Linked DNA regions of Macaca fascicularis. The protein of the gene in region 3 binds, or shares a complex with, the protein of the main gene of each other region. Links are inferred from orthologs where the notes say so. Each region holds a gene or a part of one and is shown on either strand. Other genes may lie near its edges. The genes, in order: LSM2, LSM6, PRPF6, TXNL4A, LSM8, LSM7 and PPIH.

What was found.
Region 1: PRPF6 (region 3) and LSM2 share a complex: the UniProt entries of both Homo sapiens proteins name them as parts of the U4/U6-U5 tri-snRNP complex. The link is inferred for Macaca fascicularis from reciprocal best matches to the Homo sapiens genes PRPF6 and LSM2.
Region 2: PRPF6 (region 3) and LSM6 share a complex: the UniProt entries of both Homo sapiens proteins name them as parts of the U4/U6-U5 tri-snRNP complex. The link is inferred for Macaca fascicularis from reciprocal best matches to the Homo sapiens genes PRPF6 and LSM6.
Region 4: PRPF6 (region 3) and TXNL4A share a complex: the UniProt entries of both Homo sapiens proteins name them as parts of the U4/U6-U5 tri-snRNP complex. The link is inferred for Macaca fascicularis from reciprocal best matches to the Homo sapiens genes PRPF6 and TXNL4A.
Region 5: PRPF6 (region 3) and LSM8 share a complex: the UniProt entries of both Homo sapiens proteins name them as parts of the U4/U6-U5 tri-snRNP complex. The link is inferred for Macaca fascicularis from reciprocal best matches to the Homo sapiens genes PRPF6 and LSM8.
Region 6: PRPF6 (region 3) and LSM7 share a complex: the UniProt entries of both Homo sapiens proteins name them as parts of the U4/U6-U5 tri-snRNP complex. The link is inferred for Macaca fascicularis from reciprocal best matches to the Homo sapiens genes PRPF6 and LSM7.
Region 7: PRPF6 (region 3) and PPIH share a complex: the UniProt entries of both Homo sapiens proteins name them as parts of the U4/U6-U5 tri-snRNP complex. The link is inferred for Macaca fascicularis from reciprocal best matches to the Homo sapiens genes PRPF6 and PPIH.

Annotation. Positions count from the first base shown.
Region 1 is NC_088378.1:139,906,118-139,910,382, forward strand, and holds the start of LSM2 (U6 snRNA-associated Sm-like protein LSm2), read left to right. Parts: upstream 1-1,465; 5' UTR 1,466-1,628; coding exon 1,629-1,718; intron 1,719-2,059; coding exon 2,060-2,127; intron 2,128-4,265. UniProt on the Homo sapiens protein: Plays a role in pre-mRNA splicing as component of the U4/U6-U5 tri-snRNP complex that is involved in spliceosome assembly, and as component of the precatalytic spliceosome (spliceosome B complex).
Region 2 is NC_088379.1:151,041,508-151,044,063, reverse strand, and holds part of LSM6 (U6 snRNA-associated Sm-like protein LSm6), read right to left. Parts: intron 542-2,556; coding exon 428-541; intron 1-427. UniProt on the Homo sapiens protein: Plays a role in pre-mRNA splicing as component of the U4/U6-U5 tri-snRNP complex that is involved in spliceosome assembly, and as component of the precatalytic spliceosome (spliceosome B complex).
Region 3 is NC_088384.1:120,135,527-120,139,026, reverse strand, and holds part of PRPF6 (pre-mRNA-processing factor 6), read right to left. Parts: intron 3,141-3,500; coding exon 2,985-3,140; intron 826-2,984; coding exon 731-825; intron 274-730; coding exon 117-273; intron 1-116. UniProt on the Homo sapiens protein: Involved in pre-mRNA splicing as component of the U4/U6-U5 tri-snRNP complex, one of the building blocks of the spliceosome.
Region 4 is NC_088392.1:1,012,524-1,016,643, forward strand, and holds the start of TXNL4A (thioredoxin-like protein 4A), read left to right. Parts: upstream 1-1,320; 5' UTR 1,321-1,494; coding exon 1,495-1,647; exon of another isoform or gene 1,648-1,917; intron 1,918-3,224; exon of another isoform or gene 3,225-3,261; coding exon of another isoform or gene 3,262-3,297; intron 3,298-4,028; exon of another isoform or gene 4,029-4,030; coding exon of another isoform or gene 4,031-4,096; intron 4,097-4,120. UniProt on the Homo sapiens protein: Plays a role in pre-mRNA splicing as component of the U5 snRNP and U4/U6-U5 tri-snRNP complexes that are involved in spliceosome assembly, and as component of the precatalytic spliceosome (spliceosome B complex).
Region 5 is NC_088377.1:159,620,838-159,624,914, reverse strand, and holds the start of LSM8 (LSM8 homolog, U6 small nuclear RNA associated), read right to left. Parts: upstream 2,801-4,077; 5' UTR 2,690-2,800; coding exon 2,659-2,689; intron 1,260-2,658; coding exon 1,219-1,259; intron 1-1,218. UniProt on the Homo sapiens protein: Plays a role in pre-mRNA splicing as component of the U4/U6-U5 tri-snRNP complex that is involved in spliceosome assembly, and as component of the precatalytic spliceosome (spliceosome B complex).
Region 6 is NC_088393.1:2,988,140-2,992,383, forward strand, and holds the start of LSM7 (U6 snRNA-associated Sm-like protein LSm7), read right to left. Parts: upstream 2,801-4,244; 5' UTR 2,769-2,800; coding exon 2,763-2,768; intron 2,680-2,762; coding exon 2,589-2,679; intron 1-2,588. Other genes in the region: SPPL2B (signal peptide peptidase-like 2B), read left to right, coding at 2,921-2,986. UniProt on the Homo sapiens protein: Plays a role in pre-mRNA splicing as component of the U4/U6-U5 tri-snRNP complex that is involved in spliceosome assembly, and as component of the precatalytic spliceosome (spliceosome B complex).
Region 7 is NC_088375.1:192,210,766-192,214,902, forward strand, and holds the start of PPIH (peptidyl-prolyl cis-trans isomerase H), read right to left. Parts: upstream 2,801-4,137; 5' UTR 2,777-2,800; coding exon 2,711-2,776; intron 2,379-2,710; coding exon 2,314-2,378; intron 1,996-2,313; coding exon 1,972-1,995; intron 1,703-1,971; coding exon 1,658-1,702; intron 343-1,657; coding exon 300-342; intron 1-299. UniProt on the Homo sapiens protein: PPIase that catalyzes the cis-trans isomerization of proline imidic peptide bonds in oligopeptides and may therefore assist protein folding. Participates in pre-mRNA splicing.

The DNA.
Region 1 (4,265 bases), on a different chromosome or scaffold from region 3:
CCTCCCAAAATGCTGGGATTTACAAGCCTCAACATTTTGTTGTTGTTGTTGTTTTGAGACAAGAGTTTCACTGTTGTTGCCCAGGCTGGAGTACAATGGCACGATCTCCACTCACTGCAACTTATACCTCCCGGGTTTACAGGCGCGTGCCACCACACCTGGCTAATTTTTGGGTTTTTAGTAGAGACAGGATTTCGCCATGTTGGCCAGGCTGGTCTAGAACTCCTGACCTCAGGTGATCCATTTGCCTTGGCCTCCCAAAGTGCGGGATTATAGGCGTCAGCCACTGCGCCCGGTCAATTTTTTTTTTTTTTTTTTTTTTTAAAGACGGAGTCTCTCTCTGTCACCCAGGCTGGAGTGCGGTGGCGGGATCTCAGCTCACTGCAAGCTCCGCCTCCCGGGTTCACGCCATTCTCCTGCCTCAGCCTCCCGAGTAGCTGGGACTACAGGCACCCGCCACCTCGCCCGGCTATTTTTTTGTATTTTTTAGTAGAGACGGGGTTTCACCGTGTTAGCCAGGATGGTCTCGATCTCCTGACCTCGTGATCCGCCCGTCTCGGCCTCCCAAAGTGCTGGGATTACAGGCGTGAGCCACCGCGCCCGGCCAATTTTTTTTTTTTTTTTGAGACGAGTCTCGCTCTGTCGCCCAGGCTGCAGTGCAGTGGCATCATCTTGGCTCCCTGCAACCTCCACCTCCCGGGTTCACGCAATTCTCCTTCCTCAGCCTCCCGAGTAGCTGGGATTACAGGCGCCCGCGACCACGCCTGGCTAATTTTTTTTGTATTTTTAGTGAAGACGGGACTTCACCATGTTGGCTAGCCTGGTCTCGAACTCCTGACCTCACACAATCCATCCACCTTGGCCTCTCAGAGTGCTGGGATTGAAGGCGTGAGCCACCGCCCTCGGCCTTTTTTTTTTTTATCAGCTGAATTTAAGATTAAAAACATTTTTTAATTTTATTTTTTGAATTTTATGTTTTTACTTTAACAAATATAGAAAAGTGCACACTTCATAATCTTCACAAACTCCCCACAATTCTCGATAGGATGTGTGTAGAGGGCACGAACACATCACGCTGTGGACGGCAGGGTTATGGAAAACAAAACCTTTTGAGCTCAGACGCCGAGTGCCTCCACCCGCCTAGCAGCCCAGGCTAGGGTCCGCGCCTGCGCAATGGGAGCCGGCCGGCCCTGGAAGAAGTCGGAACGAAGGAAACCCCGCCCCTTTCCCGGCTTCCTCCTCCCCTCGGTTTTACCCAGCTTGCGCTCCCCAGCCGCAAGTCGGCCGCGCTTTACCCTTCAGCGCTTGGAGGGTTCTGCGTCCCTTCCCGCTGCGCCTGCGCGGTCCCGCCTCGCCCCACGCGCGGGCTCGCGCTTCGGTTCTCCCAGACCTGGTCTCAGCATCCGGCTCTTTTCTCGCTCCGGCCCGCTGCCCGCTGCGCCAGCACCATGGTGGGTACCGTGACGTCAAAAGGGGTCGCCCTCGGGGATCTCGGACGGTTGGGGCAGGGGGGTCTGGCCTTTGTCCCCCTAGGCTGGAGTTAGGTCCGGAGTTTTTATCTTCATCGTTAGTCCTGTTCCTCAAGTTCGTTGAGGAGACACCTGAGAGCAAATGGGATTTTTTTTTCCATGATGAGGAAAAAAACCCCAACCCTGAGAGAGATTCAGTGGGGACAGCGGGAGACGGAAAAGTTAGACCTTAGAGCACTTCTCTGCCAGGCAAGCTTCGGCAGGGTGCGGGTGGGATGTTTTCTGTAATTCATTGAAAGGAGTGGGCAGGTACCCGAGAAAGGTGGTCGATTGAGAGAGCACACTGGGGAGGCCGAGGTATGCAGGGCAGAGCCTCTCTGGGACTTTAAGTGATGGGCTCAATGCAGTGTGCAGAATAATTTGGGCTCCAGCCTTTCACCTCTCAACCAATTATTCTTTCCTGTGAAATTTTGAGAACTGTTAGGGATGCAATGGGGTTCACAATACCGGTATTTGGTAATACTGTCAAGGGACACTCCTCCCTACCATGTTCCTTCCCACATGATGGTTTTCCCCCTCTCTCCCAATAGCTCTTCTATTCTTTTTTCAAGTCCCTTGTGGGCAAGGATGTGGTCGTGGAACTCAAGAATGACCTGAGGTAGGTACCTGTTCCAACAAGTCTGTTGGGGGTGGGTGTGCCCAGGGCCCTGGAACCTCTTTAATTTGAGAAATATTTGAGGGCTGGGTGAGGTGGAATATGTACAGAAGAAATAAATGGCCGGGTGCGGTGGCTCACGCCTGTAATCTCAGCACTTTGGGAGGCTGAGGTGGGCGGATCACGAGGTCAGGAGATCAAGACCATCCTGGCTAACACGGTGAAACCCTGTCTCTACTAAAAATACAAAAAATTAGCCAGGCATGGTGGCAGGCGCCTGTAGTCCCAGCTACTTTGGAGGCTGAGGCAGGAGAATGGCGTGAACCTGGGAGGCAGAGCTTGCAGTGAGCCCAGATCACGCCACTGCACTCCAGCCTGGGTGACAGAGCGAGGCTCTGTCTCAAACAAACAAAAGAAATAAATGGGTGGGGTGCAGTGGCTCACGCCTGTAATCCCAGCACTTTGGGAGACTGAGGAGGGAGGATTGCTTGAGCCCAGGAGTTTGAGGCTGCAGTGAGCAGTGATTACTCCATTGCACTCTAGCCAGGGCAATAGAGCAAGACCCCATCTCTAAGACAAATTTTAAAATTTAACAATAAATAAATGCCTTGTGCCTTAAATTTACAGATAAGCTTGGGGATTGTATTGTGTATTGGAAAACAATACAAAGCAATATACAGTTTAAAGAGTAAATACTGGTCAGGTGTGGTGGCTCATGGGCTGGACGTGTGGCTCATGCCTGTAATCCCAGCACTTTGGGAGGCCGAGGTGGGTGAATCACGAGGTCAGGAGTTCAAGACCAGTCTGGCCAAGATGGTGAAACCCCGTCTCTACTAAAAATACAAAAATTAGCCAGGCATGGTGGCAGGTGCCTGTAATCCCAGCTACTTGGGAGGCTGAGGCAGGAAAATCGCTTGAACCTGGGTGGCAGAGGTTGCAGTGAGCTGAGATTACGCCACTGCACTCCAGCCTGGGTGACAGAGTGAGACTCTGTCTCAAAAAAAATAAATAAAGAGTAAGTACTAGGCTGGCCATGGTGGCTCACACCTGTAATCTCAGCACTTTGGGAGGCTGAGGCAGGAGGATCACTTGAGTCCAGGATGTCGAGACTAGCCTGGGCAACATAGAACCATTTCTATAAAAGATTAGCCAGATGTGGTTTACATGCCTGTAGTCCCAGCTATTCGGGAGACTGAGGTGGGAGGATCACTTGAACCCAGGAGGTCGAGGCTGCAGTGAGCCATGATTGTACCACTTTACTCCAGCCTGGGTGACAGAGGAAGACTGTCTCAAAAAAGAACAGGCCAGGCCAGGCGCAGTGGCTCACGCCTGTAATCCCAGCACTTTCGGAGGCCGAGATGGGCGGATCACGAGGTCAGGAGATTGAGACCATCCTGCCTAACATGGTGAAACCCCGTCTCTACTAAAAATACAAAAAATTAGCCTGGTGTGGTGGCGGGCGCCTGTAGTTCCAGCTACTTGGGAGGCTGAGGCAGGAGAATGGCATGAACCCAGGAGGTGGAGCTTGCAGTGAGCCAAGATGGCACCACTGCACTCCAGCCTGGGCGACCAGAGCGAGACTCCATCTCAAAAAAATAAACAAAAAAACAGAACAGGCCATAGGCTGGGCATGGTGGCTCATGCCTGTAATCCCAGCACTTTGGGAGGCTGAGGTGGGTGGATCACAAGGTCAAGAGATTGAGACCAGCCTGGCCAACATGGTGAAACCTACGTATTAGATATGCTACTGTGTATCTAATACCTAGTATAGGCCAGTTGTATGATAGGTGCTTAAGGAAAGAAAAATAATATCTGAAGACCTATTGACTAAGCACTATTCTGAATACATTTATTGATTGATTTCTCAAACACTCCTTAGTAATATGTACTATTGCTGTTATACATATGAGGAAACTGAGGCTTAGATCAGCTATACCACTTGTTCAAGTCTACAAAACTAGTAAGTGATACAGAACAGAAATATGATTATGTCCAGCTTTTTTCTTTTTCTTTTTTCTTTTTTTTTTTTTGAGATAGTCTCGCTCTGTCGCCCAGGCTGGAATGCAGTGGTGTGATCTCTGCTCACTGTAAGCTCTGCCTCCCGGGTTCATGCCATTCTCCTGCCTCAGCCTCCCCAGCAG
Region 2 (2,556 bases), on a different chromosome or scaffold from region 3:
ATCTGCACAGAAAGCATCTGAATGTTTAATAGAGAAGGGACAAATAGGACAAACTGCCAAATTATGCAAATTAAAGACAGCAGGGAAATGGTGCCCATTCTTACAGCTGCAACTTCCAGGCTACAAGAAGCAGGAATATGTGTTGGGGAGATAATAATACACTATATTCAAGAGAGCAGGGTTCCGGGTCAGGAGAACAATGCCCCCAGTTCCTCATCACTAAAGGAAGGGAAGGAGGGAATTTTAGTTTAAAAATTCCATGATGTATCTAAAAAAATAACTGGTCAAACTGACATATAAGCATTTTAAAATAATCAAGCCTAAAACTGGACTTTTAAATTATCTAGTAAACTCTTTGGTGATCTGGATTATAAACAGAAAGGCTTATTTTGAATGAATGCTGTACTGTAGGGTGAAGAAATGTTACCATTGTTTCCTCGGATAAATGCATCCCCATACTTATTCTTCAGTTGTCCATTTACATATTCTTCTGTCTGCTCCAGGGCTATATTCATGTAGCCATCCAAGCAAGCCAGGACCCCTGTAGACATATTTAGTCAAAAAGAAGAAATACAAGGCAAGTAGGAGTTGAAAATTACAGGGTATACCTTAGAGCAGACAATCTCTTTATTCATTAGCTCTTAGATGCTTAATAAAAAAATTCATACCCTAAATGAAACTCAACAGCTTAAGCACAAAACAACTCTAGGCCAATCTGAATGAAGACTAGGAAGGCAGTCACGCACCCACTACTACCCAGTAAAACAACAAACTGTCACTTCCCTCACGGTATGTATGACCACATAGCAACTTTTAAAGCATTCAAAAAAGTAAGAGAATAAGACTAATCCAACAAAAATACCATTCTGTGAAAGCTAAGCACAAGGTGGGCAATTATGCATGAACAAATGATCCTTGGTTCCAGTGGCATTTCCTACTTCAGCCACTAAGTGAAATACGGGTCTGGCAGATTTATTTCATCCTTTTACAACATCTATTGCAGCAGATGAATGTACTCCAGGGTTAAAAGGAAGTCTCCACAATCTGTTAAAATAATAGAAGAGGAGACAGCAGGTGCTCCCGAAAGAACATCTTAAAGCTGTGACTCACAGTGAAGAGCAGCTTGAGAATATAGGGCAACATATTGCATTATAACACATCTTGTTCTGTTTTGTTACAGCTATAATATTTTCCAATCAAAACTAATAGAGAAAATGGCCAAAAACATTTGAGGGAGCTTTCAAGGAAACAGTTTGAGTGAATCTTTAATTGTGTTAAGATGGTATAAATTTTGTAAAATTTGACCTAATGATCTTTTTCAAAAGATGAAAATCTGCAAGCCTCTAACTCTGTCTCTAATTTCAAGTGGTATTTTCTAGAAAAAAAAATTTAAGTAAAAACAAATACTAGATTCAATTAGTCGAGTCTATAAGTTTCTCATTTGATGTCTTAACTTCATTAATATGCTCCTCACTCTCTGCCTCTGCCCCCATTATCCTCTAAACAAAAAAGTTTCCTTTCAAAATTGTGTGTGTAATGACAGCATAAGACATTAATCTACCAGAATTCTGCTAAAAGCGGTAAACTCTCAAAGAACCAGAATGGACTGTGAATAATAAAATTATTTCCTAGCCAAAGAAAGCTTAAGCTATAACTTTAGCTCATTTCCTGCTGTATTATTTTACATATAAGCCACAATTATAAATGAGCAAGAAACTTCTGAGGCACAATATGCAAACCTGTTCGAAAACTAATGAAAAGAATTTCAAAATGAAATGTCCAGGCTGGGCACAGTGGCTCACGCCTGTAATCCCAGTACTTTGGGACACAGAGGCAGGCAGATCACTTGAGGTCAGGAGTTCAAGATCAGCCTGGCTAACATGGCGAAACCCCGTCTCTACTAAAAATACAAACATTAGTCGGGCGTGGTGGCGGGTGCCTGTAACACTAGCCACTCGGGAGGCTGAGGCAGAAGAATCATTTGAACTTGGGAGGCAGAGGCTGCAGTGAGCCAAGACTGAGCCACTGTACTCCAGCCTGGGTGACAGAGTGAGACTTGGTCTCAAAAAAAAAAAGAAAAAAAAAAAGTTCACTTCTAATTAAAGTATCTGTTCTCACAGCAAAGGCAAAAAACAAAAAACAAAACAAAAAACAAACAAACAAAAAAAACTGCCCAGGGGGTTAGAAATATAACCGTTTCCTTCTCCATGAGATAACCTCCTATACATAACCAAAACAAGACATTTTCTTACACAGAAACTGCTACAGAGAGTTGGAGGTTTTTCTTGTATGTTGTGTTTTGTTTTGGGTTTTTTTTTTTTTTGGTGTTTTGTAAACCACAAAATAAGCACGTTCTTTTAGTAAGGCTATCTAATAGTATAGAACATTTTGTTTTAATCGTATAAAGGCCACAAACAGACATTCATAAGAGGAAAAAAAATTATGGTTACTATCCATGTGAAAGACTGCTGAATCTCACTAGTAAACAAATAAAATATATGTAGAATGAGATATTACTTGTTGCCGATTAGACTGGAAAAGATGAAAAAAAGCTAA
Region 3 (3,500 bases):
CTGTCCCACTGTCTGTAGTTTCAATACCAAAAGAAAGAGATTTGTTCTAAGGAGTTTACTCCCATAGGGGGCCCACAATCATGCAGCCTCCCAGGAAATGCCTCAGCGCAGCTCACCTTGGGGCACATCTCTGTCCCCTTCATGATAAGGTTCCGAGCTACTTGTAGCTTCCCAGTGACTTCTTCCAGGCGGGCTGACGCAATCCAGGCTGGCGGGTGATGAGGGTTCGTCTCCCGAACAGACTTGAGGAGCAGTCGTGCCTTCTTGATATCACTACAAGAGGGAGAGTGCACACAGCATCAGGCCATGCTGTCAGGGGTGCACCCGAGACCTAGAAGGAAGGCACCCACCTCCCAGTCGCAATGTAAGAACCATCAGTCCTGATGTCCCGAGTTACACAAAACAACTCAGAACGTCAGTGTGCGCTCCTCCAAGCCTGTTCAGCCTCCCTGAGACAAACGCTGAGAACCGAGGTCCAGATGGGGCACGTGGGACACAGCCAGCTGCTTTCCTGCTCAGCACAGGCAGCGACTTGCGGTATCACATGTAACACGTTCAGTGTATGCAATGACTGGATACAGACACATTTCAAATGGAAAAACCAAACTACTCCACTTTATATTTCTTAGAACAACGTCACATTTTGACTGCATATTGCCCATATAAAATCCAAAATATCCTAGGTAACTGGAGTCTCCATCCCAGCCCAGCGGTTCTGCGAAGCACTCACTTGATGTCCCCTCCGTGTGTCGGGATCATGGAATTTAAATCCGTCAGGTAGCCTTTGGGGTCAACGACGGTCTGTCCACTCACGGAGTCAGACACCTGTGAGACAGGCCAGGCTGAGTCAGCTGGATGTGACCAGGTGCAAAACGAAGATCTCAGAGGGTCCCTGGAGCCCCTCCCACAATCCTCGGTGAGTAGTCAGGAGAAGAAAGAAAACAACCTTCATCGCACTCAGACAACACCTTGTGATAATAACAAATTTCTTCTGTATGGAAAAAAATCTATATTTTTATTTATTTTTTTGCGACAAGGTCTCACTCTGTCACCCAAGTAGGAGTGCAGTGGCAATCATAGCTCACTACAGCCTCCAGTTCCAGGGCTCAAGGAATCCCCCTGCCTCAGCCTCCAAAGACTCTGTCTCTACAAAAAAACATAATTTTTGGCCAGGTGTGGTGGCTCACACCTGTAATCTCAGCACTTTGGGAGGCCGAGGCGGGTGGATCACAAGGTCAGGAGTTTGAGACCAGCCTGGCCAGGATGGTGAAACCCCGTCTCTACTAAAAATACAAAAATTAGCCAGACGTAGTGGCACACGCCTATAGTTCCAGCTACTTGGGAAGCTGAGGCAGGAGAATCATTTGAACCTGGGAGGTGGAGGTTGCAGTGAGCCAAGACCGTGACATTGAACTCCAGCCTGGGGACAGAGTGAGACTGTGTCTCAAAAACAAAAACAAAAACATGCTGACACACGCTGCACCAAGGATGAACCTTAAGGACATGAGCTAAGTGAAATAAGCCCGTCACAATAAGGTAAATACTGTAAGACTGCAGTCATATGAGGTCCAGAGAGTAGCGAAATTTACAGAAACAGAAAGAATGGTGGATGCCAGGGGCCAGGGAGAAAGGGCATGGGGACTTAGTGTTTAACGGGTACAGAGTTTCAATCTGGGAAGATGAAACAGTTCTGGAGATGAATGGTGATGAGGTTGTATAACAACATGAACATAATTATGTCAATGAAGGTATGTACAGTTAAGAAAGATTAAAATGGTAAATTCAGTGTTACATATATTTTACCACAAAAAAATTACTGTGACAGTTTTATTTATTTTGAGAGTCTCACTCTGTAATCCAGGTTGGTGTGCAGTGGCACGATCATAGCCCACTGCAGCCTCAAACTCCCTGGCTCAAGCAATCCTCCCACCTCAGCCTCCAAATAGCTGGGACTACAGGCACGCACCACCAGGCCCAGCTATTTCTTTTAGTTTTTGTAGAGACGGAGTCTCACCATCACCATGTTGCTCAGGCTGGTCTTGAACTCCTGAGTTCGAGCAATCCTCCTGCCTCGGTCTCTCAAAGTGCTAGGTGGAAGGATCGCCTCAGCCCAGGGAGGTCGAGGCTGTATGTAGTGAGTCGTGATTGCACCCCCCTTTTTATTTTTATTTTTTTTGAGACAGTCTCACTCTGTTGCCCAGGCTGGAGTGCACTGGTGCAATCTCAGCTCACTGCAACTTCCAGCATCCGGGTTCAAGCGATTCTCCTGCCTCAGCCTCCCGAGTAACTGGGATTACAGGCACCCGCCACCACACTTGGCCAATTTCTGTATTTTTAGTAGAGACAGGGTTTCACCATGTTGGCCAGGCCAAAAGTAGTATGTATGTTCCTTCACGGTTTCTGATGTGCATATCAGAAAGATATGTACTTCACTGGTGTCTAGAGCACCCAATCTCCAGATCAAAGTACACGTTCCATGCAGGGCCACAAGACAATTTACTGAGGGGCAGGAAGAAAACACATTTCTAAAAAAATCATTATTTTATATTTTTTAAAAAGCCCAGGTGCAGTGGCTCACACCTATAATCCCAGCATTCTGGGAGGCCGAGGCAGACAGATTACCTGAGGTCAGGAGTTTGAGAACAACCTGGCCAACATGGTGAAACCCTGTCTCTACAAAAAATACAAAAATTAGCCGGGTATGGTGGTGTGCACCTGTAATCCCAGCTACTCAGGAGGCTGAGGTAGGAGAATCGCTTGAACCCGGGAGGTGGAGGTTGCAGCGAGCCAAGATCATGCCATTGCACTCCAGCCTCTGGGTGACAGAGCAAGACTGTCTCAAAATTAAAAAAATTTTTAAAATCTGCAGAATTATTCAGGCAAAAATCAAGCCAAAAAAAAAAAAGAAGAAGGAGAAGAAGAAAACAAAACAAAATGAAAATATCTAAACCTGTCTACAGGAAAATGCTGCGTGACAAACTCACCTGGCTCAGCCTCATGTCCATCAGAGTGTTCCTGGCTTGGCCAATCTTCCTCATGTCCAGCTCACCGGTGCCAGGTGTCATCAATCCTGGTGTCATTCCACCTGGGTATGGAGTGTTTAGTCCACCTGGATAGGGTGTGTTAAGACCTCCAAATTGCTGGAGGAGAAGAGAGGAAAGGGAAGAATAAAACAACAGTTTGCATTTTATTTTTTTTGAGGCGGAGTCTCGCTCTGTTGCCCAGGCTGGAGTGCAGTGGCGCGATCTCGGCTCACTGCAAGCTCCGCCTCCCAGGTTCACGCCATTCTCCTGCCTCAGCCTCCGGAGTAGCGGGACTACATGCGCCTGCCACCACGCCCGGCTAATTTTTTGTATTTTTTAGCAGAGACGGGGTTTCACCGTGTTAGCCAGGATGGTCTCGATCTCCTGACCTCGTGATCCGCCCGCCTCGGCCTCCCAAAGTGCTGGGATTACAGGCGTGAGCCACCGCGCCCGGCCAACAGTTTGCATTTCATGCCA
Region 4 (4,120 bases), on a different chromosome or scaffold from region 3:
TAATTTTTTGTATTTTTAGTAGAGACGGGGTTTCACCATGTTGGTCAGACTGGTCTTAAACTCCCAACCACAGGCGATCCACCGGCCTCGGCTTCCCAAAGTGCCGGGATTACAGGCCTGAGCCACCGCGCCCCGGCATGATTTGTTGTCAATTTGTCATCCAAAGGACCACAAGGATGGCTGGATAGCAGACAAGAGTTTTACTGTCAATGTCAGTTTGCAAACCAGGGGGAGTCTCTAACATGAACCCAAAGTGCTCTCTCAGAAGAACAGAGATTAGAGGTTTTATTTTAAAAAGAGAAATATTATTTCTCTTGGAGAAAGTTCATAGGCACCAGTAAGGGTCTGGGGAGCTCTGACTGGGGAGCGAAGCCGGGGGAGCCAGATCAGTCCTGGAGGTGCAAGTTATGCTGAAGCTATGCAATAAAACTGGCTTCAGGTCGGGCGCGGTGGCTTCCTCCAGTAATTTCAGCGCTTTGGGAGGCCGAAGCGGGCGGATCACTTGAGGTCAGGGGTTCGAAACCAGCCTGGCCAACATGGTTAAACCCCGTCTCTACTAAGTACAAAAAAACTAGCCGGGCTGGCGCCTGTAGTCCCAGCTTACGGGGAGGCTGAGGCAGGAGAAGCGCTTGAACCCGGGAGGCGGGGGCTGCAGTGGGCCGAGATCACGCCACTGCACTCCAGCCTGCGCGACAGAACGAGACAACGTCTCAAAAAAAATTTTTTTTCTTTATAAAAAGACAAAAACTCTGGTTTCGGGTTACAACAGGCAGCTCAGCAGCCGGCCTGACGGTGACATTCCTCAAGGACGGCCTGCCCAGTGCTTCCCCCCACCCCGCTGCTCGGCTCTGCCGTGGCTGGGTATGGCAACAACGACACATTTTTATGGTCAAGTTTCACAAATGACACACACGAACCGTCTCGCTAACACACAGCACAAACGATGACCCGAAACAGACACCGGAAAGGAAAAAAACGAGCCGCAGTGCCGGGCATGCCGGGCCTTTCTGAAGACGTCCCCATCCGTGGCTGGAGGACAGCCCGGGCGGCGGCGGGCGGCCTCGGGGCGGGTGCGTCGGGGCAGGGCACGGCGAGCCCGGGGCTTCTCAGGACCACCAGGCCGCCTGGACGCTGGGGAGGAACCCCCACTCCGACGCCGGCTAGGAGGGCACCAACCGCGCTCCACCGTGGCCAGGTCGCCGCCGCTCCCGCCGGCCAACGACAAGTTAGCGCGGCGTCTGTACGCGCGTGACGTCAGCACGCACGGCGCCAGCCCGTGCGCATGACGTCAGCACGCACGGCGTCGGTGCGTGCGCGCCCAGAGGTTCCGCCCGGCGGCAGTGCCAGCGGAGCTTGCGGGTGCGGGTGGGACCGGGTTTCGGCTGTGGGCCCGGGGGCGGCGGGGGCCGCGGAGTGAGGGGCCGGCTGAGCCCACCACCTCGCTGGGCCCTCCCTGGCGCCCGGCCTCGGGCGGCGGCGAGCGCGCGGGTCGCCATGTCGTACATGCTCCCGCACCTGCACAACGGCTGGCAGGTGGACCAGGCCATTCTCTCCGAGGAGGACCGCGTGGTCGTCATCCGCTTCGGCCACGACTGGGACCCCACCTGCATGAAGATGGACGAGGTCCTATACAGCATCGCCGAGAAGGTAGCGCGCCGGGCCCTCCCGCCCTGCTGGCTGTGCTTCCGCAGCGGCCCCGCGCCTCTGCCCCGCCGGCCTCGCCTGGGGGCGCGAGCCGTTCCCCGAGGAGGGGCCGCGGCGCGGTCGTCCGGGCGATTCCTTCCCGCGCTGCGGGCGAGCGCTCTCGGGGACTGTGCCGGCGTTTCGCGCCTTTTTCTGCAGGGAGGTCCTGTAGTTGTTCACGTTTTAAAGGGTTTATGATCCCCCTCCCCTCGAAGGAATTCATTATTTCTGTTGGTAAGGCGTTTTTCCCAATCTTACAGTGCAGTGAACAAAGTAACACTTGCAGATTTTGAGAGCGCAGATCCTTAATTTAAAAGGATGCCCTTTTTTGGTGCCTTGTTTGTTTGTTGTATGTGTAAAGCAGAACTTTCATGTTAATAGCATAAGAAATCCTGTTTTTCTGTTGTTGTTTTCTCCCACCGCGCTTTTTGTAAGTCATGTGATTTATAGCTTAGAGTGATTAAGATGCAGAAAACATCGGGAGAAAATAGAACTATGCTTTGTTGGAACTAGTTTTCTGAATTTCTAATATTAGTACATTGAGTGGCCTTGGCACTTACTTGCTGACAATAAAAGTTGTGGGACACTATTTTATAACCAGGTTTCATTCTTTTTCTGTGGTTCCTCACAGCAATTTTAGGATGGCGTTTATTTAGGTTTTGCAGCTGTAGCAATAGGGCAAAGGGCACAAATACTAGGGTGTTAATAAAATATTTGCCATATTAATTTTCCGTAAGTAATTTGAGCGGTTATTCATTTTGATGAAGAGTAAAAGTAACATTGAAGCTATCTTTTCTTTCACAGATGCTAAAGTAGGCTGGGTTAAAATAACTCCTTTGAGTAAAGAGTAACAGATATAAAGACATTTTATATTGAGGAAAGGAAAGACTGTCTGGCCTGCCATTTATTAATTCTTGCTATTTCTTATTTAGTAGGAGAGGCGTGATGTTAGGAACTGTTGTTATATTTTAGTTATTACAAGAATCTCTTGGAGTGCTTACTAAAATGCATCTGTGATTCTGAGTCTATGGGTGTGGGGTGAAGTCCAGCAATGGCTTTTTAAAGAAGCCCCTCAGGGAATTCTGATGTGACCTGACCTTGAACCACACACTCAGAAACCCTTCCATGGGGGTCAGGGACAGAGGCGGAGTGCTTTATTACCAGCCATCTCCCAGCCTCTTCCTCTTGGACAGCAGGACACTGAGGACTTGAGGAGCTGCCTAGGGAATCAGGAGAGCAGCAGTTCTCTCACACTGGGGCTTCTGCCAGCCAGGGATTAGAGATGATGAGTGAGGCAGTGCCAGCACATCAGCTTTTCATTGCTTGACTTGTAGTGGACAAGGGCAGATACTGGAAATCCAGCGAAGAATTGACGAAGAGCAGTTTCCCAATAAGTAAATCACTGCTTGTAAATCACTGACTTTGAGTTACGAGTTCTAGAATCTTTCACTGTTCTACCTTGCAGATGGTGGCATAAACATCAGCTGGTGTTCAGATCCTGCTGCCGGCAGCTCGAGGCTAGGATGGCTGGCGATGTGAGGGCCTTTGTCTCATCACATCCAGGCAGAGCTCAGCAAGATGCTCTTAGCTAGGAAACAGATTTTATGTGTTAATGTAAGTGTTAGGGTCTTTGCCAGATTTGCTCTTTTTTTCCAATTCCTTTATGTCCGATTTCTTTGTTATTACAGAATGAATCACTGTATCACTAGTGGACACACACTTAAGGACAGTTGAAATGGGCTCACTTTGGGGTATTTTTTTTTTTTTTTTGGTCTTTTAAAATAGTTTGATTTTTGTTTCTGTCCAAAAATTTGGATTGCTTTATTAATAAACTTTTAATGCAAATATTATAGTATAATTATTAAAAGCGCAAACCTAGGCCAGGCACGGTGGTTCATATCTGTAATCCCAGCACTTTGGTTGGGAGGCTAGTGTAGGCAGATCACTTGAGCCCAGGAATTCGAGACCAGCCTGGACAATATGGTGAAACCCGTTCTCTACTAAAAGTACAAATGCCAGACGTGGTGGCACATGCCTGTAGTCCCAGCTACTTGGGAGGCTGAGGTGGGAGAATCACCTGAGCCCGGGAAGTCAAGGCTGCAGTGAGCCATGATTATACCACTGAACTCCAGCCTGGGCAACAGGAGTGAGACCCTGTCTCCAAAAATAAGTGCAAACCTGAAATGCATTAAAAGACTATTCGTGTTTTATTTTCTTCTTAGTATATGGGCAAAATATGACTTTCTAATTCTGGAAGCTCTTTTGGGGAAACTCAACAGAAATTTTTGAAATGTAAGATTTTAGTATAAAGAACAATATAACTATTTAAAAATTTCCCTGTGCAGAAATGGCAGATAATGGAGAATCTTCCTTATCTTGTTATGAGTCCTGTCGATGTCCCAGCTGTTTTAAAGTGAGTAACAGTTGCAGATGTTCG
Region 5 (4,077 bases), on a different chromosome or scaffold from region 3:
TTTCCCAGTTTATTATCCTGTTAACAAAAATAAGAAAATTTAAACGTAAGGTTTTCACTAAATAAAAAATAATGCAAACATCTATTAATAGCAATAGGCTTCTTGAAGTGTTGAGGTTAAAATATGTCAAACTGTCCACATTTGAAAAAATACAATGTGAGGTGCCTAAGAAAACATGATTGCTTCCTTAAGAAAGAAGCCAGGCAACTGGCCTTGGCTTTGATGTCAAACCAAATTTAAATCCCAGTTTGGTTCTGTCACCTGCTACCCTTGTGACTCTGAGAAAGTGAGTCACCTTCTCTGAACTTGTTTCCTAATCTAGAATACAGGGGTACTTATTCTTCACAAGGTTGTATGTACATTAATTAATGTAACACATATGCACCTGGCACACGATATAAATTTAGTAAATGGCAAAGCTAGAACTTTGACTAACAATAGTCACTAAGAACAAACGAAAGCAAAACTGCAGAATGGAAAAATAAGGGATCAAATTATTTAAAGAAACTAGGTAGGGTTAGAAAAGTTTAGTAGCCTTAAAATTCTTTTGAAAGCATTTGGAGTAGGAATTATAAGTGAAGAAATAATCAAGTGCCCAAAAATCTTGAGATGAATTCCTCAGATCAAATTCCAAATACAAGTATCACCATAGGAACGTTTTATCTTTGTTATATGACATAAATTAGCAAGGGAGAAACAACTTCAAGGAACAAGCCAATTTTACGTAAATATGTGTATATAGAGAGAGTCAATCATCATAATGTGTCCTACAGAAGACATGTCACACAACCTAAAAACAAAGAATGTTAAGATTGTATACAAGCCTTAAATGTTGATATGTAGATATTAATAGTATCTAAATCATTAAAAAGTTACTAAGCATATGCAAAATTTCAAAAAATTCTGATTCATGTGGTGCCGAATGAGGAAGGAAATAAAAATGGAAGAAGAAAAGTAAGTTTAATGAAGGTCTGCAGACTAGGAGCTCTCTGAGGGCAGAATCTATAACTCTAGCTCCTAGAAGCCTTGTAGGTAACACGCCACGTTTATGAGTGAGGAAAACGTGGATTGACAGCAAAGTGATAAAGAGCTGAATTATAATAAAACTGCACTACAGGTGTAATGTGCTGTCTAGGCATTAGAGATCAGAGGTTTCACATAAAACTTGCAACCAATAAACCTACAGGAAAGCAGAGAATGAAAATTCCGAAGACTTACCACAATCATCCTCCCATCAGATGTAATAACGGCAACAGTTCCTGATAACTGAATAAAGGAAAGTGTTTCTTAGGGAATGCAAATTGAAAACAGACTCTGGCAAGGTAATGATTTAAATTATTAGAACAAATATGACAATTAGGTAAAAGTGTTCAACACAGCCACTAAGTTCACTACATAAAAACGTTGAAAGATTTTGGGACGCCAAGGCAGGAGGATCACTTGAGGTGAGACTAGCTTGGGAAACACAGTGAGACCCCCCCCATCTCTACTACCCTGGCCTGGTGACCTATAGTCCCAGCTACTCAGGAGACAGAGGCAGAGGCAGGAGGATAGCTTGAGCTCAGGAGTTCAAGGTTGCATTGAGCCATGATCAAGCCACTGCACTCCAGCCTGGGCAACACAGTGAGACCCTCGACTCAAAAAAAGAAAGAAAAAAAATTTTTTAAAAGCTTGTTTTAGTTTTGTGATAATTACATGACTAAAAAAAGGAAAAAATAGAAAAGAAAACCTCTTTCTGTATGTGATCGGTGTATCCTATCTCAAAATATCCTGGATTTTTGACACTTTTCTACTAGGAATGCTGCCAATCTATTATTTCGGACAGGATATTTCGTTTCTTGGGCCTGTTTATATCTAAAATGAAAACTGGATGAGTACTAAATTCATCGATGTTGGACGATTTTCAAGCATGTTAAAAAACTGTCTTCCGGGGCAGGCTTCTGTAATTCAAAAGTAAATAAACTATATAATCAGTGTCACAAGGTACTAACAATGCCTGTAACATTAAAAGCATTCGGTATTTAATTTTTGTCACCCAGTTTGTACCTGAACTTAACATAGTGTTTTTGTTCTGAGACTTTAAAACGGTAACACTTGTAAAGTCTATTTTAAGACTTCCCGTGGGGTTGTTACTTGCTCCTCACTATAATCCATTACAACAGCAAGCATTTTTTTCATTCCACCACCAGGTAGGGTCTTCAAGTGGTAAAGGGACAGAAACAGTCTGTGAACCATCGTTAAACTTTCTGCTATCCTCGAACTAATGAGCATATTATGTGAATAAAACAAGTACACAGATTTGCAAAACTGTTGTCGCAGCCAGGACGACTGTTAATCTTATTTACAAACTTGAACACTTATGCCCTAGGGAAATAGTAAGGAAGAATCAAGAGCGTAATTTTTTTTAAGACAGAAAAGTTCGGAAAAATCACACTGGGTTTTTATTTGGCTTTTGTAGACAAAATGGAAAGGACCCCTGGGCCCGCAGCAGCTGGCAGGCTCTAGGCGCCGCCGCCGAACTCTGGGTCATTCCGGGGTCCTCATCTCGCCCGCCCCCAGGATCCCGCCGCGGCCGGGCCTCCCAACTTCCCACCGATCCCCGAGCGGCGGTCTCTCCGCGGCCCCGGCTCACGCCCGCGGCGGCCAGCTTGAGGATACGGTTGATGTAGTTCTCCAAGGCGGACGTCATGCTGCTCGGACCGGCAGTTCCGGATAACGCAGTGGTGCCGGCCACAAGCAGAACTGAAAGGGCGCGCCAGAACTCGGCAGCGGTTCGCGTCTGCGGGCCGCCGCAAATATCGTGAGAGTTGCTGCTCCGCAGCCCTTTGACTCGGAAATTGGGACGAACTAGCCAACCAAACAGAAGCAGCGCCGCTCTGACGAGAGAGTGCGCGTGCGCAGTGTGTTTTCGCTGTAATTCTGGGCCGTGTTCCGGAAGCCGTGTAAGACAAAGGGAACGAGAGGCGGAAAAAAGGAGGACGCTTCCCGAAGGTGGGGTACGAGAGAGAAGTTGGGGGAGAGTGGGTTTCCAATCCGAGTAAAACCCAGTGTGGTGGAAGATAATAAGTGAAAATGTTGAGGTAGAGCAGGCAGGAAGAAACAGGATAAGGCGTTTTTTATTAGGAGTGAAGGAGGAGAGTAGACGAGCGCTGTTGTGTGAAATGCGGGTGCGGGTAGTTGAATCCCTAGTTTTCTGCAGCAGGAGCCGAAAATAACACTAAAAATAAGTCCAGTTGGCCGGGACAAAGTTGCGCACGTTATAACCACACGGTGTAAGCGTCTTAAGAACTCAACAATGAAATGCACGTTCGTATGTTCTGCTTTTGTCTCTAAAAGTGGTCCAAAATGGAGGTGTTTTTACTTTTTAAAGAAACTAAATGCAAATAGAAAAAGGTGTGTGACCATCCCTTAGAAAACGAATGTTCACGCTTCTACCACGCCGGGATGGTCTGCCGGAATTCTCCAGGGTGAAATTAATAAATAAAAGGCTCCTTCAGCACCAAGAAAGGACTGATGCAGGAAGGCACCAAACTTGGTTCTAATCTTGGCTCTGCTAACGTATTGGTGTCATTGCACAGGTCACTTCAATTCTTCTGGGCCTCAGTTTCCTTATAGTGCCATAGGTATCATTTCAGATATTTCCCAATGTGATACTGTTCCCACTTTATTTACTGTGTTGCCCTAACTTGAGAGAGCTTGAAGTTAGAAAGAGATTTATACACAAAACATCAGCAGGAGCGATTTCCCTTTTTTACAAAATATCTTTATGATTTAGGTTAAACATGTATTTTCTTAAGAATTGTGGCTTTGGAATAACTCTTGCAATGTCAGCAGTTTTCCTGGGAAAAGGAAGCATTTCTTAATTAGAGCATACCCACAAGATACCTACAAGATGACTCCCAAATAGTTAAAATTTTATATTCTGGAAGTTATTCCGATCTGTTTGAAATCAAATGTAGTCAGGAATTAGATTGTGAATGTCTCATATTCTCAGGGTAACAAATGAAAGTGTCTTCCACAAATGAAAGAACAAAGATAATTGTGTGATTTGCAAATGTTAGGAGTTGAATCAAAACC
Region 6 (4,244 bases), on a different chromosome or scaffold from region 3:
CCGCCTTAGGTCACAACTTGGCACCTTGGGTTAGGGCTCTCTGACCCGGTGGTGACCTCTGCCATCTGATCCTGCTCCGCAGTGTCTGGTGACACTGAGAAGGATGAAGGGGGAGCTGTGTGTCCTCAGCAGAGGCCAGCCCACCCTCCCTGTCCGGGACTCCCGTCCTCTCCCCCCAGGCTCCTCCAGCCCAGGCCCAGGAGCGGTTCCGCCTCTGCGCTCACTGAGGGGCGTCCCTCAGCCACCCGCTCCCTACCCTCCTTCTTACCCCTGTCATCTTTCAGGTGCTTCCTCCAGACACCAACCCACACCCCTTAGGGTGCTGCCCTCTGCATGCCCCCCACCAATCTCAGGAAGCAGGCACCCCAGGCATTATTCTGCCCGCCTATCTTCTCCCAAGGCAGGGCTGTGAGCCTGTCCATGGCCGTTCTGCGCTGCGAACTACGACCAGAGGCGAAAGTGGCCCACCGCTCATCTCTGTATGCCAAAGTTTCACTGGCCCACCAGCACACTCGCCCGCTCAGGCACTGACCAGGGCGGCTCTCCTGCTCTGCGGGCATAGCTCACTGGTTGTGACAAGAGACCATCTGGGCTGCAAAGCTGAAGATATTTGCTGTCTGGCCTTCTACAGAGAAGGTCTGCCCACCTGCATACAGGCTTTAGCTCCTACCTCCACGGCTCCCTCTCTCTGCGCTCAAGTCCCTCCCCTGCAAAATGAAACCTGTCACCTATGAGATGGGGTCAGACGCAACGGTTCAGGTCCTTGGCACCAGCCTGACCAGTGAGCCAGCCCTCCTCACAGGGACAGATGTGAGCACTGAGGTAGGTAGGTCTCTAACCAAGGTTCCCCTCCCCGGGGTGTGGGCTCGGGCCTGTGACTCTGAGGGGACATGACGTCACTCCTGCACTTAGGTTATGCAGCTGTTTAAGCCCCTGAACCAGCTGACTTTGAGCCAATCTAGAGGGAAACACCCTGGGTGAGCCTGACCATATCAGGTGAGTCCTTCAGGGAGCAAACCCTTTCTCTGCTGTGTGTGTGCGTGTGTGTGATTTATTTATTTTTAGACGGAGTCTCGCTCTGTCTCCCAGACTGGAGTGCAGTGGCGCGATCTCAGCTCACTGCAACCTCTGCCTCCTGGGTTCAAGAGATTCTCCTGCCTCAGCCTCCTGAGTTGTTGGGATTACAGGTGTGCACCACCACGCCCAGCTAATTTTTTTGTATTTTTCGTAGAGATGGGGTTTCACGAAACCCCATGTTGGTCAGGCTGGTCTCGATCTCCTGATCATATGATCCGCCTGCCTCAGCCTCCCAAAGTGCTGGGGTTACAGGCGTGAGTCCCTGCGTCCCGCCAAGAGCTGCAGCATGCATCACCAGCCCACTGCCCATGCGAATGCTTCCTGCCCTCTGAGAGCTCGCCCTGTCTTCACTAGATTCCATGGAAGAGTTGCAGGCAGAGGCAAGCATCAGGTTAACATGCACGAAACCGCAAACGGTGACAGGTGCTACCAGGATCCTAGAACGATGGGGGGCCTGACGCCAGGGTCAGGGAGGGCTTCCCAGAGCAAGCACCTGTGGAACTTGTGCTTCTGCCGCCCTTTGCAGTCATAATCAGAAGTATGGATTCGGATTTTACTCCAAAACAACCGGGAGCCTCAGAGGTTTTCAGCAGGGAGCAAGAAGCCTCCATTTCTTTTTCATTAGGTGCCTCTGGCCGCTGAGTGGAGACTGACCTTAGTAGCTGTGATTCCCAATCACAGCTTGGGGGTCGGGGGGCGATCCTATCCCCAGAGAACACTAAGCAATGTCTGAGGCTATTTAGGTTGTCACAACTTGGTGGAGGCCAGGGATGCTGCTCAGCACCCTGCAGTGCCCCAGGACGGCCCCACTCCAGAGAATCCGGCCCCAAATGTGTCCACACTGCTGTGCGGGAAAGACCTTGACTTAGAGGGAGGAAGAGGAGAAGCCGGGAGATCTGTGGGGATCTGGGGCAGTCCTTGGACACACAGGACTGCTCTGGAGGCCAAGCCGGAAATCCCAATACCGGCTGCGCCACTGTGACTTTGGATTACGTTTGTTTCCCGCTCCTTGCCCCAGTTTCCCCGCCTGCAACATGGCCATACCAGTTCCTACCTCCCGGCGTAATTCGGAAGCCTGCACAAGGTAGTCGGCGTCAAGCGTGTAAAGAGGCGCCTCTGCGGCGGCTCACGCCTGTCATCCCAGCACTTTGGGAGGCCGAGACGGGCGAATCACTTGAGGTCAGAAGCTTGAGACCAGCCTGGCCAACATGGTGAAACCCCGTCTCTACTAGAAATACAAAAATTAGCCAGGAGTGGTGGCGCCTGTAGCCCCAGCCACGCAGGAGGCTGAGGCAGGAGAATCGCTTGAACCCGGGAGGCGGAGGTTGCAGTGAGCTGAGATCGCACCACTTGCACTCCAGACTGGGCGACGGAGCGAGACTGCGTCTCAAAATAAATACATAAATAAAAATAAATAAAAGAGGCGCCTCTGCATGCATCCTCATCACCTCTGTTGCTGACTTTATTTTAAAATTTTAAAGGGGGGGTGCCAACGGCGGGAGCCGCCTCACCTTCGCGTCCTCCCTGAAACTTCACCCGGATCGTCTTGTCGATGTACTTGGACAAGTCCAAGATGCTCTCCTTTTTCTTCTTCTCCTTATCCTGCGGGGAAAGCAGAGCGCATGAGGCCTGGAGCGCGGCCCGAGCCCCACGCCCCCCGGCTCCGGATTCTGCCGCGCGCTCACCGCCATCTTGTCGCGCCGTGAGGCTCTTCGCAGACACCGCCCCGTGCCCTGTGACCTCTCCCCTCCCCCCCACGCGCATGCGCGGCGCATGCGTGGCCCGGGGTCTCGGGGCGTTGCTGGGAAACATCTGCCGACGGTTGCGGCGGGCACCGGCCGAGATGGCGGCGGTGGCGGCGGCTGCGCTGGCGCGGCTTGTGGCGGCCTTTCTGCTCCTCGCGGCCCAGGTGAGCGCGGCACCGGTCCCGACGGCACCGCAGGCTGCGGCCCTTCGGCCTCTCGGCCCCGAGGCTACGCGCAGGAACGACCCCTCTTGGCCCGTCTTGGGGGTCCAGCCTCGGGGATCCGCGGTCCCCTCGTTGTCGGCCGGCGGTGCCGGGGCCCGGCCGTGACCTTGCGGGGCTGTCCCCGGCTTCTCTCCCTTCCCCGCCTCGGAGGCCCTCCGCCGCTGCAGCGCCCCTCACTTCCCACCGGGCCTGAAGTTTGTGCCCCCTCCATCTCCCTGTTCTGCTTGTCCGTTTCGGGGTCTCCAGCCGCCGCGGGGGACGCCTCTCTCCCGCTCTGTGGCCTTGGGCAGGCGGCCGCCCACCCCGCTCCGAGCCTCAGTTTCCCTTTAGGCGGAATGGCCCGGTGCTAAGCTAACCTCACCCTAGGGGGTGCGGTGGGGGAACCCAGAGGCGTCCCGCGTGTCCCCCAGTGACTGGCCAGCATCCTGGAGCGGCCAAGAGCCCAGCCCTGCACTGGGGTCGTATTCCCGCTCCATCTTTTACTCCGTGACCTTGGACGAGGGAATTCCCTGCTTTGAGCGTCAGTTGCTCGTCTGGAGAAGGGGGGTCGACTATGGTGTGGATTCTGGAGATGCTACCCAGGGTGACCAGCGCCTAGGGACAGCACGCCTTCCTTATATTCATTGTGTATCCTTTGATGTAGAGTGTCAGGTTCTAGCGGGGACAGTCTACGAGATGGCACTGTCGTAACTGCATCTTTTATTTTCTTAATTCCAAATCTTACCTCTTACCTGAGTTTGGTGGCTCAGGGAATGGAACCCGGAGCAGCCTCACAAATGCGGCCCTTAACCTTCACTCCTCTCTCAGAGTTCTCTTAAGGCGTCGCTGCCACTGGGCTCCTTCTTAGTCTCCACTCTTCCAGCCCCACCGCCATCCCCCTGCTGTGGCTGCCTTTGTCCCCCACATCCCTAGTCCATCCTCGACACAGCAGGAGTGACCCTTTCAAAGTATGTCAGTCCATGTCGCATCTGGATGAACGTGCCGTCCAGTTGTGACCTGGCGCCAGGGAAGCCTGCAGCTCATTGCAGGAGCTTCGTTGTCTAGTCTTTTCTCTTACCCTGAAATGCCCGTGGTCTCTGCAAGGCTGGAGGGCCCCCTCAGAAGCTTTCTGCGAACCGCACCTCCACCCCCAGCTGCCCTGTCAGCCCCCTGGACTCCCCCTATTCTGAGGCCAGGGACCTAGAGACCCCAGACATTT
Region 7 (4,137 bases), on a different chromosome or scaffold from region 3:
TGAACCTATCATAGATCATCTACAGGGTATTCTTAAAAAGTCCAATTTCTGGCTCAAAAAGGCTGAGATTTGGACCATGGAAGTTAATGCCTCAATCAAAGTGCTAAAGTCTGTTATCTACAGTCAGTTGTACCTAGCCACTTTCAAGAACTTCCCCATCACCATTCTCTCCAACACCCCCATCAAACCTGGCTATTGTTCTCAAGCCTTAAGACTGGGTCTCTGTAGTAAAAACAGCAATTGCAACAATAATAAAAACTAAAACTACAGGTCTTTGATAGAAAAGGAATAGTACTTACATTAACAAAATCTCCACCCTGAATCATGAAATCCTTTATGACCCTGAAACAGAGAGCAAAGAATACTGAGAGAAGATTTTATGGAGACTTTGTTATTATTGTATTAGATTAACATTGATTTCAAAATACACTATAACTTTGGCTATTATAAAATCACCATTCTTAGCTGGGTGCGGTGACTCACGCCTGTAATCCCAGCAGTTTGGGAGGCCGAGGCAGGCAGATCACATGAGGCCAGGAGTTTGAGACCAGCCTGGCCAACATGGCAAAACCCCATCTCTACTAAAAATACAAAAATTAGCCAGTCGTGGTGGCACATGCCTGTATTCCCGGCTACTTGGGAGGCTGAGGCAAAAGAATTGCTTGAACCCAGAAGGCGGAGGTTGCAGTGAGCCAAGATCATGCCACTGCACTCTAGCCTGGGTGACAGAGCGGGACTCTGTCTCAAAAAAAAACCAAAAACCAAAAACCAAAACAACAAAAAAAGAAGATTATTCTTTTCCTGGAATGATTAAGCTGAAAGGATAATTAACCATAAAAAAGGATTTTAGTTATAAATTAGGGCATGTTAGAGTTGATCAAGTGCATGATCTGGTACCTGAACAGTAACAAGAAGAAGGGGCTGAAAGCCTGCAGGAAGAATGACCACATTACTTGCCAAAGCAAAAGGCAGATCAAGGATTTGATGTAAATTTGGGGGAAAGAACTACAGAGAATTTATGTGAAAGGTACTGCTACACATGTAAGGGCTTAACAATTGTTAGCTATTACCCCTAGGGAGGGTCCTTAACCTTTGTTATCCTCAGTTTCCTCCTCTGTAGAATGCAGATCACACATACCACTTCACAGGAGTCTTACTGGGGATTAGAGACCCACAGTTCTAAAGCTGTGATATAATTATGTGCTAACATTGTTACTAACCACAGTGAGGCCATGAGAAAGATTCTATATTGAAATGAGACTAAGTGTTGCCATACTCCACTCCCCAGGAAATATGATTATCCTTGGACAATCATATATGATCATTTTAGGAATTAGTTATAAATAGCAACCAGCAGGATATATTATATGCACTTTAGGATTACAAGTGTACTTCTTTAAAAATCTGCATTTGCACAAACAAGTGCATGAAAAAGACAGGATATTGTAAAGATGAGTAGTTTCTGTTTTAAAGACATAAGAAGTGGGAGAGTATAAGTAGAGTTAGAATATTTAATAAATCTTCAGTTATTGAGTCCACAAAAACATTTCTTCTCAAGAAATGTAAGAATTACCTCTGGTTTTATTTTCCTCTAAAGAGCCTAATCCCCCAGGAAATATTTCTGAAAGACTCTAGGATGGCTTGCCAAAAGCCTTACCTGTGGAAGGTGCTTCCTTTGTATCCTATTGGAACCCCATCTTTTCTATAACAAAAAGAAAGAGACTTGGAGTGATAGCAGGTAGCACAAGGCCTTTCCAGTTTACCATGCACTGGAGCCAAAAGGACTCTCCTAAAGATGGTTGACAGACATAAAGAAGGCAAATAAACTAGGGACAGACCCTTGGGGCATTACCTTCTATCACTGTCACCAGCAATCATTCAAGGCCAGCAGCTGGTTCACCGATACCCTCACCGCAGCCCCAGAACACCCTTCTGGAGCAGGCAAAGAAGTCAAACACATCTGAAACTGACCTGAATTCTCCGGTGCAGAACTGCCTGAAAGGGACAAAAAGTGAACAATTCAATCACTATGACATCACAGTCGTGACCGCCTCTAAAGACGGGAAAGAATAAACAATGGAGCCAGCAAGTCCACCAATCCGCCAGCCAGACGTCCAAACACGGAGACGTACAGACTAACAACGTAAATTAACACGGGAACAATCCAAACGGCAACCAGACAGAGCAAAGCACGGAGGAATCAGGTCTCAAGAGCAGTGAGCGGACGGACAGAGGTAGACAGGCTATTCAGGCGGCTGACTAGAGCCCGACTTCTGCCTTAGCTAATCCAGCGGAACTGGAGCACGTCCTTACCTAAAGTTCTCGGCCGTCTTAGGCACAACGTCTGCAAAGAGCTCGATCTTCATGCGGCCAACTTCCTGCAATCAGCGGGAGACTGTCAGAAGGCCCAGTCCAAGACCATGAGGGCTTCACGGAGCTGGGGGCAGGATGGGCTGACCCACCACCCTGCCGCTCGGTATCACCCACCTCCGCCTCTCTGGTCTAACCACCCAGTTCCTCCAGAAGCGGGGCGCTAGGATTGGGGAGACTTCTCCTCATTTCTCCCCGCCCTGCAGGTCGGTAGGTTCGGGTGCAATTTCGCTTTCTGGCTGGCTTCCCGAGTCCGCTCTCTCTGAGTGAGTTCTGCCTGCCTAGCTAGCCCCGAGCAGTTTCCCTTCGGCGCAGGTGTGGGTAGCGTCCTGGATCTCACCTGACCGCCAATGCTGACATCAAAGAACACCACGGGGTTAACAGGACTTGAATTTGCCACCGCCATGGCTCCGACCCGGAAGCAGAAGTCGGGAGCATGGGATTCCGGCGAACCTAAAGCCCTGTCCGCGGGTTTCGTCCGGGGAGCAGGCGCGGTGGACGCAGAGAGAGACCGGGCCCCGCCCCCGGAAGCTGTCGCCCCGTGCCGTGTGTGCTGAGGCTGCTGGGGTCTAGCTGGGAGACTCTCCCTGAGACGGGGGACGCGGGAGTGAGGAGGAGGAAAGCCTTGACATCTTTTTGGTTAAGGTCGATGGTCACCCCACTCACGTGGCTGTACTAAGGGCAGTACAAGTTGATCTTGCTCTAGCTAGGGCTTTTGGACTAGGCAGTCGCCAGGGTCCTCCTTATCGGCTCTTGGAACCAAGCCCTCTACACCGCCACACGTGCTGTGTCTGTCTTCTGCCCGCTAGTCTGTGAACACCGTGAAGGCAGGAACTCTGGTTTGTTCATCCTCAGCGTTTAGAACAGCTTGGCACGTAAAGGCTTGCTAAGTAAATATTTGTCCCTTCCTCTAAGTCAGGACAATAGATTAGGTTTCCGTTCTGCCACAAGCTCCCAGTTTGGTCATTTCCAATTCGTTTCCCACAGAGTAACTAGAGTTTTTTATTTTTTATTTTTAAAATACCTCTTGTGATTCCTATTTATTTTTAAAATAACTCCTGGCTTCCTATATTTAGAATAAAATCCAATTCTGTACATAGGAAGCCCTCCAGTGCATTAATCTGGCTATTACCTACCTGACCTCATCTTGTACCACTTGCCCTTAGTTACTGTGCTCTGACCTGTCTGCTCCTCCAGGTCACTGAGATCCCTCCTTTCTTTAAGGCCTTGTAATAGCTGTTTCTTCTGTCTGAAATATTCCTTCCAGATCTTAATGTGGGTTGGCGGGGTGATGGTGGGGTTTGGTTGGGCTATGTGTGTGGGAAGTAATGCTCCTTGTAGTTCAAGGCTCACCCCAGATGTTACCTCCTCAGAGGCAACATTAGACCTAATCTAAAGTAGCCCTTGGTCACTCAGATCACTGGTTTGTTTTCTTCATGCCACCCCCCATTTCACATTTGTATGGTATGTGTCTGCACCTCATTTCCTGCCACACACACATACATCTTCCTCCCTAATAGCATATAAACTCCATGAAAGTAGAGACTCTCTCAGTCCTGTTCGCAGCTGTAGCTGCAATGTCTCCTACTGAATAGCACATAGTAGGTAAATATAATAGATTCAATGAATTTAGTGAAAGAAGGGGAACTTGGGCAAGACTCATTAGCTATAACAGCATGCATTTAATATAATAGTTATTATTTCCTAGGTCCTTTGATCATCTTTTCTAGCTCTGTCGTCGGAGGAAGCAAGAATTACATATAAAAA